2 linked regions of the Lonchura striata genome follow. The protein of the gene in region 1 binds, or shares a complex with, the protein of each later gene. Links are inferred from orthologs where the notes say so. Each region holds a gene or a part of one and is shown on either strand. Other genes may lie near its edges.

Region 1 (9,283 bases):
TAATTTACATGTGTTAAAGCAATTCCTGTGCTCTACATCATTCATTTTGACTTTCAGAATTGTGTTAAATAAAACTTGGAGACTGTAGATAAGTAGGAGGTGCATTTGAATAACATTTTTGGGTATAATTGCACTGTAATCTATAAAGTAAACTTTAAGTCTTGCAAGTATCCTTGATAACATTTTGATGAAATTCTTTAGTAAGAATGAGGAAGTTAGGAGTGCTTTTCAGAGACTGACATGTAATTTTTAATGTTGGAGGCCTTCCAACATTTAAGATTTTTATGTCCATCTCAGGATATACATGAAAATGTGTGTAAAGATAGTATGTTGTCTTGAGTTAGGTTTTTTTTTTTTTTAACTAAAAATACACCAATACCATTGAGATTGAAGGACAGATATTTGAATCACTTCCTTGGGAAACCATTAAACACTGTCTGAAGAAGGGATCATATATTGTATGTGTTACTGCAAATAATTACTTGGTTTGCTTCTACACTCATACTGTCTGGAAGAAATTTCTGAAGGTAACTCAAATGCTGGTTAGTCAGAATGGGCTGGCTTAGATAAGGTTGCTTAGGAACTTGCCCTTTGAGTTTTGGGTGTCTCTAGGAACTGAGACTGTACCTCTGGGTGAGGTGTTGCAAGGTTTGTCTAAGCCCACAGTCAAAAACTTAAATGCTGGTTAGTCAGAATGGGCTGGCTTAGATAAGGTTGCTTAGGAACTTGCCCTTTGAGTTTTGGGTGTCTCTAGGAACTGAGACTGTACCTCTGGGTGAGGTGTTGCAAGGTTTGTCTAAGCCCACAGTCAAAAACTTATCCTAATTTATGATTGTTGCAACTTATGTACAGTGCTGCTTGTCTTTTACCATGTACCTCCATAGTGAATTACTGTGCAAAGCAAATTGTTTGTCGTTTTGACAAGTGAAAAGTAATTACTTGCAGCTTGAATACAAATGAAACCTGTTATTATAAATAAAAGATCAGTGATTTCTAAGATTTCAGGTCATATATTTTTCCTTAGTACTAGTTTGAAGAAATCAGGTACCCTGTGGGAATTTTGACTTCTACCATGTTGAGGAGTATTGGGTATTGATAATGTAGTGGCGCCTGAGGACCATCAGGTCTCCTTCTTGCTGTCTTTGTACTCTCAAAACTTCTTGCAGAAGCTTGCTACCTAGGAAACCTCATAGCTCAAGTAGATAAGAGAAACAAATTGAAGCAAAAATAGAGTAATAGGACAAGTTATTGGCAAATACAGAGATGAAACTGGAGACATTACTTTATGATATAATAGGTATGGTTCTACCTTCTACCAATAGTCTTCAACCTGCAGTTCTGCTGTGAAATTCTATTTTCAGTTGGTTTCAATTATGGCAGTCAAAAAGGAACAGGAAAAGGGTTTTAGCTGTATTATTTAGCAAACCCATATATTTTTTACAGCCCTGTATACTATTCATTTTCAGGCTCTGGAAGTGGGATGTAAAGGAGTTTAAAGTGCTTGTTGAGAAATGAAAGCAGGCTTTTGAGCATGCAGCAATTAACTTTTTTAATCCTTGAGTAACAAATTTCTGAAATGTAAAATACTTCCAGTACTTTCTTAGCTTGACAGAAGGCATTAAAACCTTGAATAGGTAACTTAGAGAGAGAATTGTAAGACGCTGGAATTGGCAGGGGCAGACAACAGTTACAGTGGTATCATATTCTATCCATTTTCAGCAAGGTCTGTTACGTTCCTTTTCTCTCGCCACAGCTATTGAATCTGTGGGCTTAATGTCCTTGGAGTATCTCAGTGTAGGAAGAAGAATCACTTTAAAAGCTTGGGCTTTGTAGTAGAAGAATATTTTGCAAATATGGACCAAGTGCTTTTTAGCTTACGGTGGATACCACTTTGTAAAGACTGATGAGAAAGAGAGGCCTTGATGCTGCAACTGAGGATCATGTGTGTTCATGTCCGTGTAACAGGACATCTTGGATTTTTATGTGGAGATGACACTGTTGGTTTCTTTGTGAAGTCTTAGTTAGTAATTTCTTTTACCATGTACATCTCAAATAAAACTTAATGCTTCTGCTTTTCATGAAATGTAAAATTTTACTACTTTTTCAGTGAATGACAGCAAGGAAATAATTTTTTTGCAAGGAAGTAATTTTTTTTATGTTGTTTATCTGTTGTCTGTCTGGTCCATAAGCTTAAGTATGCAGTTGCTTGACTACAATTGTGTATATATATATATATAATTATAAATAGTTGTATAGAAATACATACATTATAAAAATATATATAAATAGCTGTGTATAAATATCTATATAATAAAAGGTTTCCAATTTTATATGCTTAGGAGTAATAAGAATAACTACAGAATAACATGGGGGAGATTCGTCTTCTCTTACTTTTTTATGGTTAGTCTTGTGTATTACTCAAATAACATCCTTTGCTTTCATATTCTTTTTTGCTATCTGTGGCTGACGCACCAACTTACAGGAGTTTGGGTTTTTTAAAATTTTCCTAATATGATGTGGTGTGTAAAGTGATTTTAAGATAGAGACTTTTATGATATTTAGATACTCTTCCGCTGAAAGGTCCTACAGTGAAGCATCCACCACCTTTCAAAGTGGTTATTTTTGTGAAAATAGATCTCATTATTGAAGTCAGATCATCAGGTAAGAATGAAGCTAAATTATCACACATTGTGTAAGATTTATTTTTTGCAGCACTGTGAAGGGCTGGTACCGTTACATATTCTTAAATACTTGTGTATTGAAAACATTTGGGGCAAACACATGTTCTCCAGATGCAGTGTAGCTTTAGGCATTACAGTTAAGGAAATGTCTGTTCAATCAAAGCCATAGGTATGGAATGTGCCCCTCCTTTCCTGTGCCACAGAACCACATTTTTACAGTGTTTTTCCTTAGCTCTTCTAGAAGCAGAAGTGAACTGGTTACTGCAGTGAATTTTCAGTTGAGCTTGGTAGGAAGGCAGTTGCAGCACTACATTTATATTCATTCCCTCTCTACCAGAGTCGTTGCCTTTGTTCCATGTTTATGTGAAATGATGCATGTTTTGGGATGCTGTTTTGCTGTTTGAAGTTATACCTGTGGGTATGGTGAGGTTTATGAGATACAGTGAAGGCAGTTTGCTGCTGACATGGGGTAATTACTTTCTCACAGTTTAATTCTCGGAGCTTGTCCAGCTGTTTGAAGGCTTTTTAGCCTCACTAAACTGTCAACAGCAGGAAGCAATAATAATTATTTAAAGCTCTTTTTTAGCTAAATTGGTTGTTATCTTCTTGCCACCTTCCTTTAGCTAGATCAATTTGCTTGTCTGAATACTCACAGAAATAGATGAGCACTGATGATACATAGGAGTTTGTAAAAATAGTGGTGTAACATTCTGGGAAGTATCTAACCTAAAGATTTAATGAGCAATTGGAGCCAGTACTACCGAATATCTGGCTCTCCAAAGGGGAAGCCAGTTACATTTTCTTGAAACACCAAAAGGTTTACAAAGTCAAAAACTATGTTGATGTTTGGCTACAGCACCAAACATTGTATCCTGCAAATATTTGAACCTTAGACTGTGCTCCTTGATGTGTTTTATTGTCAATGCAAAATTCATTTCGAGTGGTAGATGTCAGAGAAGTTTTGCTTTATAAGGAAAAATAAAGCTGCATATTGAAAAATAATGTTACAGCTCAAGCTGAACTCAAATCACAAGTTTGTTTGAATGAAACTCAGAACTAAGTAAAACTAGGTAAGTGTTATGTCCAGTATCACTTCAGTGAGTACAGTCTGTATCGCTTAATTTGAGTGTGACTTACAGACTTGAGAGAATACAAATTTGCCTCATTTAACTGATGTCTGTGTTAATATTTATTTATGTGACTATGAGCTAATTGTGAGAAAACCCTGTAGCTAATTTAATTGGGACAGGACAAACCCATTTGTTTAGTTGCCTGCAGACAGGTTTTTAACAAGAACTATACAGAAGGCATGACTGAGAGCAGAGCTCTCTAGTCTCTGCTAGAGAGAGATGTGATGTGATATCTCAGTATCTTTTTTTTGCCAAACACAGGTTTCTCTGAGTGGGAGATTTATTGTATGCTGTAAGATAGCTAGGGTACCCTCAGGAATCCTGAATGCAAATGCATGATATACAATGCTTTGAGCCTGCTGTAACAGTAATAAAAGTAACTTTGAGAAGCTATTTTTATTCCCCTGTGATTAACAACAAAGTTGTCTTTGAGTGGGAATTATTGTGGGAATCTTTTGCATGCCCTCTCTCTTCTTACTTTCTCTTAGGTAAAAAGGGGTTTTTAGTATCTATTTCACTATTTCATTTTTACTGCTGTGGAGCAGTGAACTTTAACCTATTAGGAGTGTAAAGGAAGGGGTGGGTCTCCCTCCTGCAACGAGTTCACAGCTGAATTTCTGAATTTGAAATAGGGGATATATAGGAAAGAATAAGGGTGAGTATATGGTTTCACAGTATCCTACTTATCAGCATGTTTTTTCTGTGCAGCATGGATGTTGATTGAAGGAGTGAGCTGTCAGGGTGCCTAACAAACAAAACTCTGAAATACCTGTCCTTCAGTTGAGTTAAAAAGGGGGAAAGAAAAATGAAAGAGGGAGAGTTTTAATGTCTCTGTTACTGTTAGATGCACCCTAGCAGAGTCCAAGGAGTGAGCTGCCTTGGCAGGGCTGACAGTGGCACTGAGAAGCCCTGCAGTGGGAACACTTCTCCTTGACCATATATAGGCACATACAGCACACAAGGTCGGGCTTCTCCAACCAGTGTCACTTCTCATGTGGCAGGAACAGGAAGAGTGATCTCGGAGCATTTGAAGCCACTATCTATAACTTCTTAAAAATAAAATAAACTTCAGAATGTCTTAGGCTGGAAAAGATAGAGTAGGATTTCTCTCATGTACCTGATGGGTATCATGCATTGAGAAAAATTAAATTGTGAAGTAAAGGCAGAAGTATGGAAAAAAATAGATTTAGAATAACTGCCACTATTCTATACATTACTACGTTGCTCTTTGCTAGGGTAGTCTGAAAACTACAAATATTGTTGTAACTGAGTGTAGGAATTTGTTGCTAGACCAACTGTTTTAATCCCTAGCAGAATAAAGAATTAGGCATAATGCCTAATATTCATCACATACATCAATCCTGTCCTTTTCTCTTTTGCTAGGCTTCTCTGTACGAATTTTTACCTTAATTGACATAGTTTACTTTATAAAATCAATATGCTTGTAGATTTGATAAACTTTTAACTGATGTAATGGGGTAGCATTTGACTTCACTTGAATTGTGGAAGTAAACCATTGGTGATCAGATGTTCTGGGTTAGTGAAGTCTGAAGTTTATAGTTCCTTGCTACTCTGAAGACCTGAAGCTGAAAACTGACTCAAATCTACATCAATAAAACACTATCTTAAACTTTAGGTAGTGTTTTGGGAGTAACTACAGTAATAAGTGGAGAAACTTCAGGTGTTTTATGTCTTCGAGTTTTCTAAAGGAAGACTCAACTGTAGCAATTTTTTGTTACTTGCTGATACATACCTAAGTTTCTTGTACTATGTGTAAGGGTGAAGTACTCTTGAATGGAAAAACGTTTTGTCGTTTGGATTCTTAAGATATTATGATGTTTCTGTTTTGGCTTGCTCAAATCAATTTTTAGACACCTCGGCGCATTGAATAATCAGCATTGGTTGTAAATGCACCTGATCGGTTTTCTTAAAATTATTTTCAGCAGATACAACTTCCTATCTCAGTTTGACTAAAGAGCAGTTTAACTTTTTGCTTGTCACTTTATATTACAGGTTATGTGCATTTTTAATTTATCTTTTTTTAGTTGCCTGTGAACATCATATTTTATACAGAGTGCCCCTTTGTTTTAATTGTGCTTTCCCAAGTGATAGCTGAGGCTTTTTGCTGCCAAAAGGGGGAGATCTTAATCTCATAGAGGCTTATGGAGGTACATTCATTTATCCTTCAGTATCAGTCTGGGTTTGAAAAACAGAAGCCTCCTTTAGAGCATTTATTTCTGCAAAAATTCAGTGGCAATATATCTGTAACTGCTTTTCAATTCTAATGTGTTAAGTGAGACTACTGGATTTAATTCTTTTATATGGGCTTTCTGTATGTATGAATTGGGGAAATAATGGCTTTATCAGATACTCATCACAGAGAAGTTAATTCAGTTTAACTGCTGAAGGAAAATGGGATTACTTTTAAATTGGCTTTACAAAGGCAGGTTAGCAAAATACAGTGTCTTAGCTGATACACTCTCAACTTCTGAAAACACATTAGATTTTTTTGCTTTTGTAAACATGAATATACTTTATACTTGATGAGGTATTCATTGCAAATGTGCATGATTGTCTATCTGTTCTATAAAATGTTTCATCTATGATGAATTTTCACACAAAAAACTATCAGTGAGAAATTTAATTTACTTGTAAAATGTTTGTAAAAAGTAATGTCTAGGTTGGTCTGTCGTGAGGACATCTGAATGCTTTTGAATTAATATTACTTATAGTGTAGCTAATTTTATAAGAATCGTTTTTACTGATAGTGAAAAAAATAAGCAAAACCAGATCTATATTACCAAAACAGCTGAAAATGAGGTAGTGCTCCAGTTTTAGTATAGACCCAATGTCTCACCTTACAGGTGTTACCAGTTTAAAGCATGTGGCCATTCAGGGTGCAGTTTGGGCACCCATGTTTTGCTTAATTTTGCTTCTATAGCTGCTGCCTGCCTAAAACTTATGGACCTGTTATTTCACAACTCCAGATGTCTATAAGTCTTGTTTCTCTGCTTGCCCAGAGCTAACCTGGCCTTGGCAGGGGTAAGCAGTCCTGTTCACATGAAGTCAATGAATCAAGAAATGCTGTTCCTTCATCTTGAGCTGGGAGTCAGCCCACTGATAGTCATGCTGAAATCACACAACTAAATACTCGCTTTTCAGGGCTGATCCAGGACCCTATTAATTGGTGTAATGGTTTAACCCCAGGCATGCCACTAAGCCCCACACAGCCACTCAGTCAGTGCCCCACCAGTGGGATTGGGGAGAGAATTGGAAGGGTAAAAGTAGGAAAACTCATGGGTTGAGGTAAATATAATTTAAGAAGGAAAGCAAAAGTTGTGCATGCAAGCAAAGCTAAATAGGGAATTAATTCAGTATTTCCCATGGGCAGGCAGCTATTCAGCCATCTGTAGGAGAACAGAGTCCCCCATAACATGTAATGGTGACTTGGGAAGTCAAATGTCATCACTCCAAAAATCTCCCACCCTTCCTCCTTCTTCCCCCACTTTATATACTGGGTATGATTTGGTGTGGTGTGGAATATCCCTTGGTCAGTCAGGGTCACCTGCTCTGGCTGTGTGTCCTCCCAGTCTCCCACACACCCCCAGCTTCCTTGCCAGTGTGTCAGTATGAACAGCAGAAAAGGCCTTGGCTGTGTAAGCCCTGCTCAGCAGCAGCACAAACAGCTGTGATCAACACTGTGTTCAGCACAAATCCAAAACACAGTCTTCTACCAGCAACTGTTACGAGAATTAGTTCTGCCCCAACCAAAAGCAGCATTATTGGTCATTTGATAAAATGCACTGGTGATAGAACCTTGGAGCCTGTCTTACCCTTGTTCTTTGTAAGTGCTTTAATAATATATAGGTTAGCTTTGTTTTGCATTCTTTATATTGCTTTGGCTTGAGCATTGAGCTGTGTGTGGTGCCTTGACTTCAGCAAGAGGTACCAGGAGTGTGGGGATTGGTGATTAAGATAATGTGTGTAACGCAGATAAGTTTGCATTCTTCTAATTCAAAGGAGCTGATCTAAGTTGCTTTAATAAGCAGCCATAGAAGAAGGTCCTCTTGCCTCTCTGTGTCTTTTTTGAAGAGTGAACTTTGTGGCATTTATCTCAGTATAATGCAAATTCATGTTTACATGGAAGAGGAGTTGGTAGGAGTAAAGAGGAGATGGTAGGTACTTGAGGAAGCAGACAAATGCTGCCTGCAATCCAAAATGCAACATTTAGGTTAGAAAGTTGGGAACTGACAACTTTTCCATTATCCAGCTCTGAATAGTTGTGTTCTGTTAATGATCTGAAAGCTGCCTGGGCTGGTCACTTGGGATCTCATGAAGGTTCAACACTGCCAATGAGGCAGCTAAGTGCTCTCCCAGGACATTTTAACTTGAACCACCTCTCCTGGAGACCCTTGTCTGAAATCTGGGCCATGTCAAGAAGCAGGGGCCCAAACAGTGACTATATTGCTACCCTCAGTTGTGAAAGCTGTTTTCTTGTCAGTTCAAGAGCTCTAGCATGCTCAGAGAATTTCTTTTGTAGTTTCAAATGCAAAGAAATGTGTAAATGTGTTCTTTGGTTATTTTTAGATATTTTTCATTAAATGCGTGCTTCTTAAACACCCTAATTTCAAACAGTGCTCCCAAGCACTAAATCTTCCAGCTTTTCATTCCATAGATACATCATAGAAGTTGTTGGAAAGGGAAACTCTGGTAGTATCCTGTATTTGAATAATGACACCATATTGAGGATGCAAGAGAGCTTTAAGTGTCTGGTGAACTTGGATAATTGTAAAGGATAGGAATTTTTGCCAAATTAAGTTAGGGAACCAATATTTAGTTTGTTTTTATAATGGGTGCCTTTAACAGTTCAAGGAGGAAAAAGATTGAATCAAAGTGACATTCTGCAAGTAAGGTAATAGTTGAGAAGTTTAAGGGTTGTTTCACATTTTAAAAGTATTTTTGTGGGTTTTTTGCAAGCACATGTGTGGAGCTGTGTAGTGAACCAGCTCAGGGACCTGAGCAATAACTTACCTGATTTTGCTCATTGTGCTGTTGTACAAGGGCTTGTGCAAGCAGGAGAGAGGAAGCCAGGACAGGTGTGCCTACTTTCAGTGAAAATAGTGGCTTATGCCATGTTTGCTCTGCAAGAAGTTGTGGCTGAAGGCCATTAATTACTAATTAAGATCTCAAGAGTTTTTTTAAGCTTTATCTGCTGGTACTGTGGTACTAAGAGGTCCTAGGTAGATGCAGGTGAAATTATGAGCTTTAGTGTCTACGCAGTGTTTCTAAGCTTAATCTGTTCGTGTGGGCCTTTTGGAAAGTATAGAACCATATAATATGTAGTAAAATTGGAAGAGAAGCTTTGAAGATCAAATGCATCTTCATTATGGTTTTTGGCTCTCTTGGGGTTTGTGTTGTTTCCCAAGCTGACATTGATTGTGAATATATTATTGATCTTATTTATTATATTCA
Region 2 (8,935 bases), on another chromosome or scaffold:
AGCTGTGGAGTCACGGAGTCACGCGGTGCTGGGATCCCCACGTCCCACGGAATTGTGTCAGCTTTATCAGCTCCTCTGTCAGCTCCATGGAATCTTGGAATTATGGAATCACAAAATGCTCAGCTGTGGAATCATATAGGATCCAGGCGTTAGGGAGTTGCGGAGTTGGAAGGGGTCTGTAAGGACCGTGGAGTCCCCTGCCCATGACACTCCTGGTGTCCCACCATGTCCCTGGGAGCACTGCCCAGCTGCTCCTTGACCCCTGTCCCGTGCCCCTGTCCCGATGTCCATCCCACCCAGGCAGGGCCGATCCCAAGCCGGGATGGCGGGCAGATGATGGCGCTGGTGGCCCTGGTGGGGCCCTTGGCCACCGTCCCATCCCAGTGGGCTGGGAGATCCCAACCGGTTCCTCCAGCCCCGCGGGAGCAGTGCTGGCGCCTCCGGAGCCACCGGCAGCGAGTCCCGGCCTGTCACCCCCTTCCCAAATCCCGGGGCTCCCGTGTCCCACACCCTGACACCGGCCGGGATCCCCCGCCCTGGGGTCACCCTGCCCCGGGCGGTCGGGGCGGATCCCAGGGTGAATCCCAGGGTGGATCCCGGGTGGATCCCAGGGTGGATCCTGGGGTGGAGCCAGGGCTGTCTCCAGGCTTCTGGGGTGACCCAGGCTGGCTTTTCCCTGTGCGCCCAGAGTGGGATATTCCCAGGGGATGGGGCAGGAATCCCGAGCAGGAATGAAGGAAGGAGCTGACGCACACGGACACACCTCGGGCAGGGTTGTGCCTTTATTGTGCAGCTGGATCCCAGTGGGATCCCCTGGGAATGCTGAGGGGGTGAGCCGGAGGGTGGCGGGGGGGCTCTGGATTTTGGGAGCCCACGTCCTGCTGCGGCAGGAGGGGGGTCAGGCGTTCTCCCAGAAGAAGTTGTTGCAGGCCACGGTCAGAGCGGCCACCAGGACCACAAATTCCTGGAAATCCACCTCCCCGTCGCCGTTCTCATCCAGGTCCTGCATGATCTTCTCCACGGCCCCCGCGTCCTTCTGGGTCTGGGGGGGACACAGGGTGAGCCCTGGGGCTGGGCAGCCGCTGTTCCCCCGGGGAACGGGGAAAGGGAGACCCCCGCACCCCAAACTGGTCCCAGTTACCTCCAGGAAACATCCCAGCTCGCTCTGCAGCAGCTCCTTGAGCTCCTTCTTGCTCAGCTTGTACTTGTCCCCCTCCTTGCCCGAGTAGTGGTGGAACACATTGATCAGGGTCTCCATGGCCCCTTCCAGCTGCGATCCCATGGCTGTGGCTGCGGGACCCCCAGCACGTCACCCACCGGCCCCCCCGTCTCGGTGCCACCCCCACATGTCACCCACCCGCGGCCGCGGTCCCCCTGGGCAGGACTGGGGGGGTTCCCAGGGGCTGGGCGGGGAGGTTTGGGGGGGACGGGGACACCTGTGCTCACCTGAGCTCCCCGTGCTCCGAGTGCGCCCGCCCGGCCCGGCCGGGCCCGTTAAATAAGCTCCAAGCCCCCTCCCTCCGGGAGGATCCGATACCGGGGCTGGGCAGCCCGGCTGGCACCGCCGGCCAGCCCCGCGGGGCCGGGCGTGGGGGGCACAACCCCGGCCTGGCCCCGGGGACACGGCTGGGGAGACAGCCCCACTTCAGGGGGGCTCCCCGTGCCACCCCCGAGCGCCCCTCGCCGCCCCCGGGATGTGGAAAAACCGGGGATGTAGGGAGGGCCGGCACGGGCACGGGCACCGGCACGGGCACGGGCACCGGCACGGGCACCGGCACGGGCACCGGCATGGGCACGGGCACCGGCACGGGCACCGGCACCGGCACCGGCATGGGCACGGGCACGGGCACTGGCACCGGCACCGGCACCGGCACGGGCACCGGCACGGGCACCGGGGTCCCCCGCCGGGCTCAGTGCCCGGCGCCCCCGCCGGTGGCCGCGGTGGCCACGCCGTGACCCCGCGGGGGCACCGCCGGCATCCCCCGTCCGTCAGCGCCGCGGGGCCGGGGCCGCGGCCAGCCCCGCTCCCGGGGCCGATGAAGGGATCCGGTGTCCTCGGAGCGGCCGCGGGGCCGGCGGGGCCCGGGGGGAGCGGCGGGGGCTATCGGGTGACTCCGCGGGGGCCCCCCGCGCTCAAAGGACTCTTGTCCGGCTGAAAAGGCCCCACAATCCCGAGCCCGGCGTTGCTGCAGCAACGCCTCGGCCAGGAAACCGGACTCCGAGCCGGCCCGGGTGATGCTGATAATCCGCGGATCCCGTTACGGCCCCGGATCCGCGCGGGATGGAGCCCGCAGCCTGCCCGGCTCCGGCATCCCCGGGGAGATCAGCTCCCGAATTCCTCAGCCCCCGAATTCCTCAGCCCTCAAATTCCTGATCCCCCAAATTCCTGATCCCTCAAATGCTTCAGCCCCCAAATTCCTCAGCCCCCAAATGCTTCAGTCCCCAAATTCCTGATCCCCCGAATTCCTGATCCCCCAGATTCCTGATCACCCCAATTCCTCAACCCCAAGTGCTTCAGCCCCCAGATCCCTCAGCCTCCCTCAGGATTGGGACCCCCTCAAACAGGAGCTGCATTTTCAGCAGGGCCGGGTGGTGCCGGGCTCCTCATGCCGGGTTCCAGCCCTAATTTGGGGCTAATTACATCCTGTTGCCTCTGCTTCCACCTCCCTCACTTCCCGTCCCTGCGGCTGAGGATGGGCCCTGCCTGGGCACCCCAAAACTGCCTGGGCACCCTCCCCAGCGCCCAGGGAATGGGGAAACTGGGGGGTCCCCAAGCAGAGGAGGGGTCCCAGCTGGAATTGCGAGTTCCAGAGAGGAGCAGGGATCCCAAAGGGCGGCTCAGGAGCTGCCTCCCAGCAGGACCCGGCTCCATCCCTGGGGCTCCGGGAGGGGCCGGATCCCCAAATCCCGAGGCTGGGCATGGGGGCACTGGGAGGGGCCCGTGGCACTCACTCGCCGTGTCCCGGTCCCCGAGCGGCGGGCAGGATTCCGGGAACGCCCGGGAGAGTCACCGGGCCAGCAGCTGCTCGTGACAGGGACGGGCATTGCCCAAAAATAACCCCGACCCCGGTCCCTGCCAGGGGACAGAGGGGACAGGGCCAGGACTGCGGGCAGCGGCACGGCCGCAGTGTCCGAGGGACAGCGGGACCCCCAAACCCTTCGGGACAGCAGCCCCAGGGCGAACCCCAGCACTGGGGGGGTCCCGAGGGGTCCCGGGGGGTCCCGGACCCTGCGGCCGGGGCAGAGCGCGCCCAGCACGGCTGGCAGATTCCCAGGACGAGCTCTGGGAAGCGGGAGCAGTGAGGGACATGCCAGGAGCTTTACACACAGCTTGGAACAGGTTTCAGCCACTGCGACTCCCCTGCTCCACTTTGACCCAGCTAAACCAGTCGCTCCAGTTCCCGGTGCTGGGCTGGGCCCATCTTGTCTCCCCATCCCATCGCCGGGGCTCTGGAAGAGGCTTTGGAGAGGGAGGAGCTGCGGTGGCCGCGCTGGGGACCCCGCGGTGGCTCCGGGCTCCTGCCGCGGCCCCTGGGTCCCTGCAGCGAGCCCCGATGGGGCCAGCAGGGGCCACTGCCGGGCTGGGCACCGCGCTGGACACGGTCACCATCCCTGGTGGGGCCACACCGGCTGTGGAGAACCCCAGGACCAGGATGTGGAAGTGGACACTGAGCCCCTGCACATGGTCACCCTGTCACACGGGGTCCTGTGGTCCTATATGGCCCGAGTCCCGAATGATCCCATTCCTATTCCTGTATAGCCCAAGTCCCTGTACGATCCCATTCCTGTCCCTATATGGCCCAAGTCCTTATATGGTTCTGTCCCTGACCCTGTATGGCTCGAGTTCCTATATGATCCTGTCCTTATATGGCCCAAGTCCTGTCCCTATATGGCCCAAGTCCCTATATGGTCCTGTCCCTATATGGTCCAAGTTCCCACACGGTCCCTGACCCTATATGGCCCCCATCGCTGTCCCTACATGGCCTCAGTCCCTCCATGGTCCCAGTCCCTCTCTGCTCCCACTCTCAGCCCCGTTATGGTCCCAGTCCCTCTCTGCTCCCACTCTCAGCCCCGTTATGGTCCCAGTCCCTCTCTGCTCCCACTCTCAGCCCCGTTATGGTCCCAGTCCCTCTCTGCTCCCACTCTCAGCCCCGTTATGGTCCCAGTTCCTCTCTGCTCCCACTCTCAGCCCCGTTATGGTCCCAGTCCCTCTCTGCTCCCACTCTCAGCCCCGTTATGGTCCCAGTCCCTCTCTGCTCCCACTCTCAGCCCCGTTATGGTCCCAGTCCCTCTCTGCTCCCACTCTCAGCCCCTCCATGGTCCCTCCTCGCCATGCTGGGGTCCCCGAGGCCGGGTCCGCACCCCTGCCCATGGGGCCGGTCCCAACGGGGATCCCAGGCTGATTAAAGACCTGGGGGTGCCTTTCCCGTGTCCCTCCTGCTGTGGGGCCACGGCTGCATCTGCCCCTTCCTCACCCCATCCCGGCTCCCCGAATTCCAGGGCCAGGGAGTCACGGGCCCGCCTGGCTGCGGGGCCGGTGATTCACCCCAAACCTGTCCCGGTCCCTGCCGGGCCTGACTCACCTGCCGCTTTCCCAAGAGGCCATCCCGGGCCCTGACGTGGGGCTCGGTGAACATCCCAGCCCCGTCCCCCGGTCACCCCGGGGCCGGATGGGGCTGCAGGAAGCCAATTCCTGCCCCGTGAGCTGGTGTGACGGCTGCGGGGTGGGGACAGGGCCACCCCATCCCTACTGCTGCCTCAGGGCTCGGCACAGACCGGGCCGGTGACGGTGACGCTGTGCCGGGGACCCCCGTGCCCTCGGCCCCCAAAACACCGCGGGGGCTTTGGCACCCCAAATTCCCGCGTGCTGCCCCGGGGGGCTGCTGGCTGCAGCCTTGCTGTTTGTCACAGCCGTGGGTGAGGCTGGGGACGTCGGGGACAGTCCTGAGGCTGTGTCCGGGGTCCCCTTGGGGTCCCCGTGGGAAGGGGGGTGCCCCCGGGAGCTGCTCGGTGTCCCCAGCCATGTTAGAAACAGCCACTAACTAAAGGGGAGCACTCGGGCCATTCCAACACCCTAATTAATTGGGATTAATTAATTTTTACAGAGCCCACTATTAATAGGGATGATGTCACAGGCGGCTGAGTCACAACTCTCACTCGGTGCGGGCCGAGCCGGGCCCTGGCTCGGTGACGCTGCCGGAGCCGGGATGTGACAGGGATGTCACCGGAATGTGACCGGGGCTCCGGGGACACCTCCTTGTCCCCAGCCCTGCAGGGAGGGAGCTGGGGGTGACACCTGCCCTGCACCCCCGGAACGGGGCTCAAAGTTTGGATTCAATCATCTCGGGGGTCTTTTCCAACCAAAACGATCCCGGGGGTGTTTCTGTGCAAGGTCGCGGTGATGCTCCAGCCCCGGGGCCGTTCTCTGCCCGCGGTCCCCTCCTGTCCCCACCGGAGGTGCCCGGGCCGAGGCCGCAGCGAGCTCAGGCCGAGCTTGGTCCTGTGCCCGGGCGGGGAGGGAGCAGAGGACGGCGGGACGGACGGACGGACGGACGGACGGACGGCGGCGCCCGGGCGGTGACTGCGCGTCCGTCCGGCCGCGCCAGGAAACCCAACACCGGCGCGGGGGGGACAAAGGCTGCGCTGTCCCCACTGTCCCCTCCTGCGGCGCGGCTATAAAACCTCCTGAGAACGCCCCAGACCTCCCGAACCCCTCGAAACCTCCCGGGGGCCACCAGCTGCCCGCAGCCAGGGGGTAAGTGGGCATCGCTCTCCGCAGCTCCGGCCGCACCCCGGCCGCGGCCGCGCCGCTGGGGACCGCTGATGTCCCGCTGTCCCCTCCCCGTGTCCCCGCTCCGGGATCGGGCGGCAGCGGCGTCATCCCCGGGACCCGCTGCCCCTCGCCGAGTCCTGCACAAGCCCCGGGACCCTCGGGGCTGAGCTGAGCCTTCGCTGGGCTGGGGAGGGGGCGAGGGTCTCCCCTTGGGACACCCCTCTGCCTCCCACCGCCTCTGGGCTCCTGTCCCTGCAGCCCCGGGCTAGCGGCGTGTCCGGTGCCATGGCCGCGGCCGAGCTGCCCGAGCCGAGCGAGCCGAGCGAGCTGACCGAGCTGGAGGCGGCCATCGAGCGCATCGTCACCGTGTTCGTCACCTTCGCCGCCAAGGAGGGCAGGAAGGGGACGCTGACGGCCGGCGAGTTCAAGGAGCTGGTGCGGCTCCAGCTGCCCAACCTGATGAAGGTGAGGGGAGCCGCAGCAGCAGCGCGGGGTCCCCGGGGGTCCCCCTGACCCGTGGGGCTGCTCCCGGTGCCCCGGGGGTTTGCAGTCGTGCCCGTCCCGCTCTCTGGGGGCTGGCGAGCGGCCGAGCCTCCCTGGCGGGTGCTGCCCGCAGGACGTGCCCTCGCTGGAGGAGAAGATGAGCGAGCTGGACGTGAACAACGACGAGGAGCTGAGATTTGGGGAGTACTGGCGGCTGATCGGGGAGCTGGCCAAGGCCGTGCGGAGGGACAAAGCGGGGAAGAAGTGACGGGGCCGCTGCGGGGACTCGGCCGACGTGCGGCAAATAAAAGAGGTTTCCCTGAGCCTGAGCATCGCTGCTGTTCTTGGTGGGGGGCTCCTGATTTGAGCCCCCATCTCCTCCTCCCCCGTGGTGGCCACGCTGGGGCCGGCCCAGCCCAGGCGTGCTGGCTTGGGGTCACTCCGTGGCTCTGGGCACCCCGGGATGGACGGGGCCATTCCCAAATTGCCCTTGCGCTGGTCTGGCTTTTGGGGTGCCACCCTGCGCCCCACAAACACCTTCCTGCCACGCTGGGGGGTGCGTGGGGGGCAGAGCCGTGGCTGTGGCCGGGGTGGGGCTCGGGAGATCCCCGGCAGCGATGCCGCGCTGGCCACGGTGGCCGCCAGCTCCGTGGCATCAGCGCCGTCCTCTGCAGGGTCTTGGGTGGCGGGGGGTGACACATCCACCAGCGCATCCCGGCCGGGGAATGTCCCCGCTCGCAGCGCTCAGCTCCCGAATCCCGGCGCTGCTGGCTGCTGGAATCCCGCTCTGGGCGAGCAGCCGGGCCCGGTGCCGTTCCCACGGCCCGCTCGGATGGGGAACCGTCAGTGTGGCCGGGAAGGAGGCGTTTCCCGGCCCCACGCTGGCGCCGGGCCAGGCTCCCAAATGAGACGCCTTGCACCACGGAGCTCCCACTCACACCTCCCCGGTATAAAACCCCGGCCCGCCGCAGCCCGCGCACACCCGGGACAGCCGTGCTGCAGGTAAGTGGCCCGGCCGCCCCACGGCACGGGGGGCTGCTCCCCCCGCGGGCCCCTCCGCTCCCACGCTCGGCCCTGCCACGACTTGCGAGGACGCCGGGGACGTGTCCCGGCAGCTCCGGCGCCGCATCCCGGGGCTCCCTCCTCGCCCTCCGCTCGGGGATGAGGAGGAGTCCTGGCGCTGGAGGAGGCGAAGCTCCCCCCGAGCCGAGAGCTGAGCTTGGCTTCCTTGCCCCGCCAGCTCCCCCGGACCCCGCGGCAGAGGAGAGACCCCCGGAGAGAGAGGGAGAGACCCCCGAGGAGCCGCGAGCAGCAGGATGGGCCAGTGCAACTGCCGCAAGAAGCGCAAGGTGCGGCGGGGACGCCGCGGCACCGGGAACACCGCGGCACCGGGGACACCGCGGCACCGGGACCCCCGGCGGGGCGGGGGTGACCCCGCACGGCCCCGGGGCGCGGGGCGCGGCGTCAATCGGGGCGCCCCGGAGGAGCCGGGGTTCGGCAGCTCTGGGGTTCGGCAGCGCCGGGCACGGCCGCTGCGGAGCCGCTTGGAAGCCCGGGGAAGCAGGAGCTCCGTCTGCTCCCGCGGATGGACCTTGGGCAGCCGCCCGCGCTCCTCGCAGCCCCTCCGAGGATGCCCGAAGGCGGCCGAGCTCCTGCTCTCCTCGGCTTCCAAACGGGACGCGCCCACCGCGCCGCGCCTGGCACCTGTGGAGGATTTGGGGCGCCGGGCTGAGGCTCTGGAGGTTGCCAGGCTCTGCCCAGTGGGCATCACCGGCTGTGGTTGCACGGCGTTCCGAGGGGAAGCCGCAGATTTGAGTGAATCACCGTCTTTTCCCTTAAACGGAGCCGCACGAGCGGCCGGGAGCTACCGGGAGCGGCCGGGAGCTACCGGGAGCGGGGTCGGGCTGCTCTGCGCCCCCCGCCCCGTCGGGCACGGGCTCTGGGGGTGGCAGAGGGGCTCCGGGAGCCCCAGGCCGGCGGCACGGCGGGCACTGACTCACGCTGCCACCGCCACCCGTGCGGAGGAGAGGAAGAACCAGTCGGGACGGGCCCGCGCCGGGGGTGGCGACAGACGCCGGGGTGGCTGAGCCTGGCGGCCCCGGGCGGGGACAGCGCGTCTGGGGGGTGACAGCTCGGGGGGACAGGCGGTGGCAGCTGGAGGGGCTGTCACAGCCGGGCAGAGCCGCTGCGGAGGGGTGCGACAGCTGGATGTGGGGCAAAACATCTGTACGGTCTCACATCTGGGTGCAGATGTGTGGGGACAGAGGGCAGGGGGGCTCACAGCTGGATGGGGAGGTGTCACAGCTGGACGGGAGGGCGTCACAGCTGGACGGGAGGGTGCCTCACATCTGCACAGACGGGCCAGGTGCTGACGAGGAGATTTTTGCCGGGGCTGTGCAGGGGTTAAATGTTGGCTCGGGGAGCGTCCCACCCGCTCGGGGCTCGTCCTGTCGCCCCCGAGGGATCTCCCACCCCACCCGGGAGCTGTCCCAGCCCTCCGGGAGCTGTCCCAGCCCTGCACGGAGCTGTCCCAGCCCTGCACGGAGCTGTCCCCGCCCTCCCGGAGCTCACTCGCCCTCCGTGCCCCCCGCAGGACTGCCAGGAGCTCACGGACGTGGAGCGGGCCATCGAGACCGTCATCAGCCAGTTCCACTGCTACGCAGTGAAGGGGCAGAAGGA

The links.
Region 2: the proteins of CAPZA2 (region 1) and S100A1 are in contact, whole or in part, in an NMR structure (PDB 2KBM), measured with the Rattus norvegicus proteins. The link is inferred for Lonchura striata from reciprocal best matches to the Homo sapiens genes CAPZA2 and S100A1. Residues at the interface, in NP_001009180.1 of Rattus norvegicus: Thr267, Lys268, Ile269, Asp270, Trp271, Asn272, Lys273, Ile274, Leu275, Ser276; in NP_001007637.1 of Rattus norvegicus: Ser44, Phe45, Leu46, Asp47, Lys50, Asp51, Ala54, Lys57, Ile58, Glu61, Leu78, Ala81, Leu82, Thr83, Ala85, Cys86.

What each region holds. Positions count from the first base shown.
Region 1 is NC_134607.1:34,493,413-34,502,695, reverse strand, and holds the start of CAPZA2 (F-actin-capping protein subunit alpha-2), read left to right. Parts: upstream 1-5,186; 5' UTR 5,187-5,973; coding exon 5,974-6,075; intron 6,076-9,283. UniProt on the Homo sapiens protein: F-actin-capping proteins bind in a Ca(2+)-independent manner to the fast growing ends of actin filaments (barbed end) thereby blocking the exchange of subunits at these ends.
Region 2 is NC_134635.1:3,150,482-3,159,416, forward strand, and holds S100A1 (protein S100-A1), read right to left. Parts: upstream 3,164-8,935; 5' UTR 2,953-3,163; intron 1,291-2,952; 5' UTR 1,283-1,290; coding exon 1,142-1,282; intron 1,043-1,141; coding exon 899-1,042; 3' UTR 896-898; downstream 1-895. Other genes in the region: S100A13 (protein S100-A13), read left to right, coding at 6,059-6,238, 6,390-6,524; S100A14 (protein S100-A14), read left to right, coding at 7,573-7,605, 8,850-8,935. UniProt on the Homo sapiens protein: Small calcium binding protein that plays important roles in several biological processes such as Ca(2+) homeostasis, chondrocyte biology and cardiomyocyte regulation.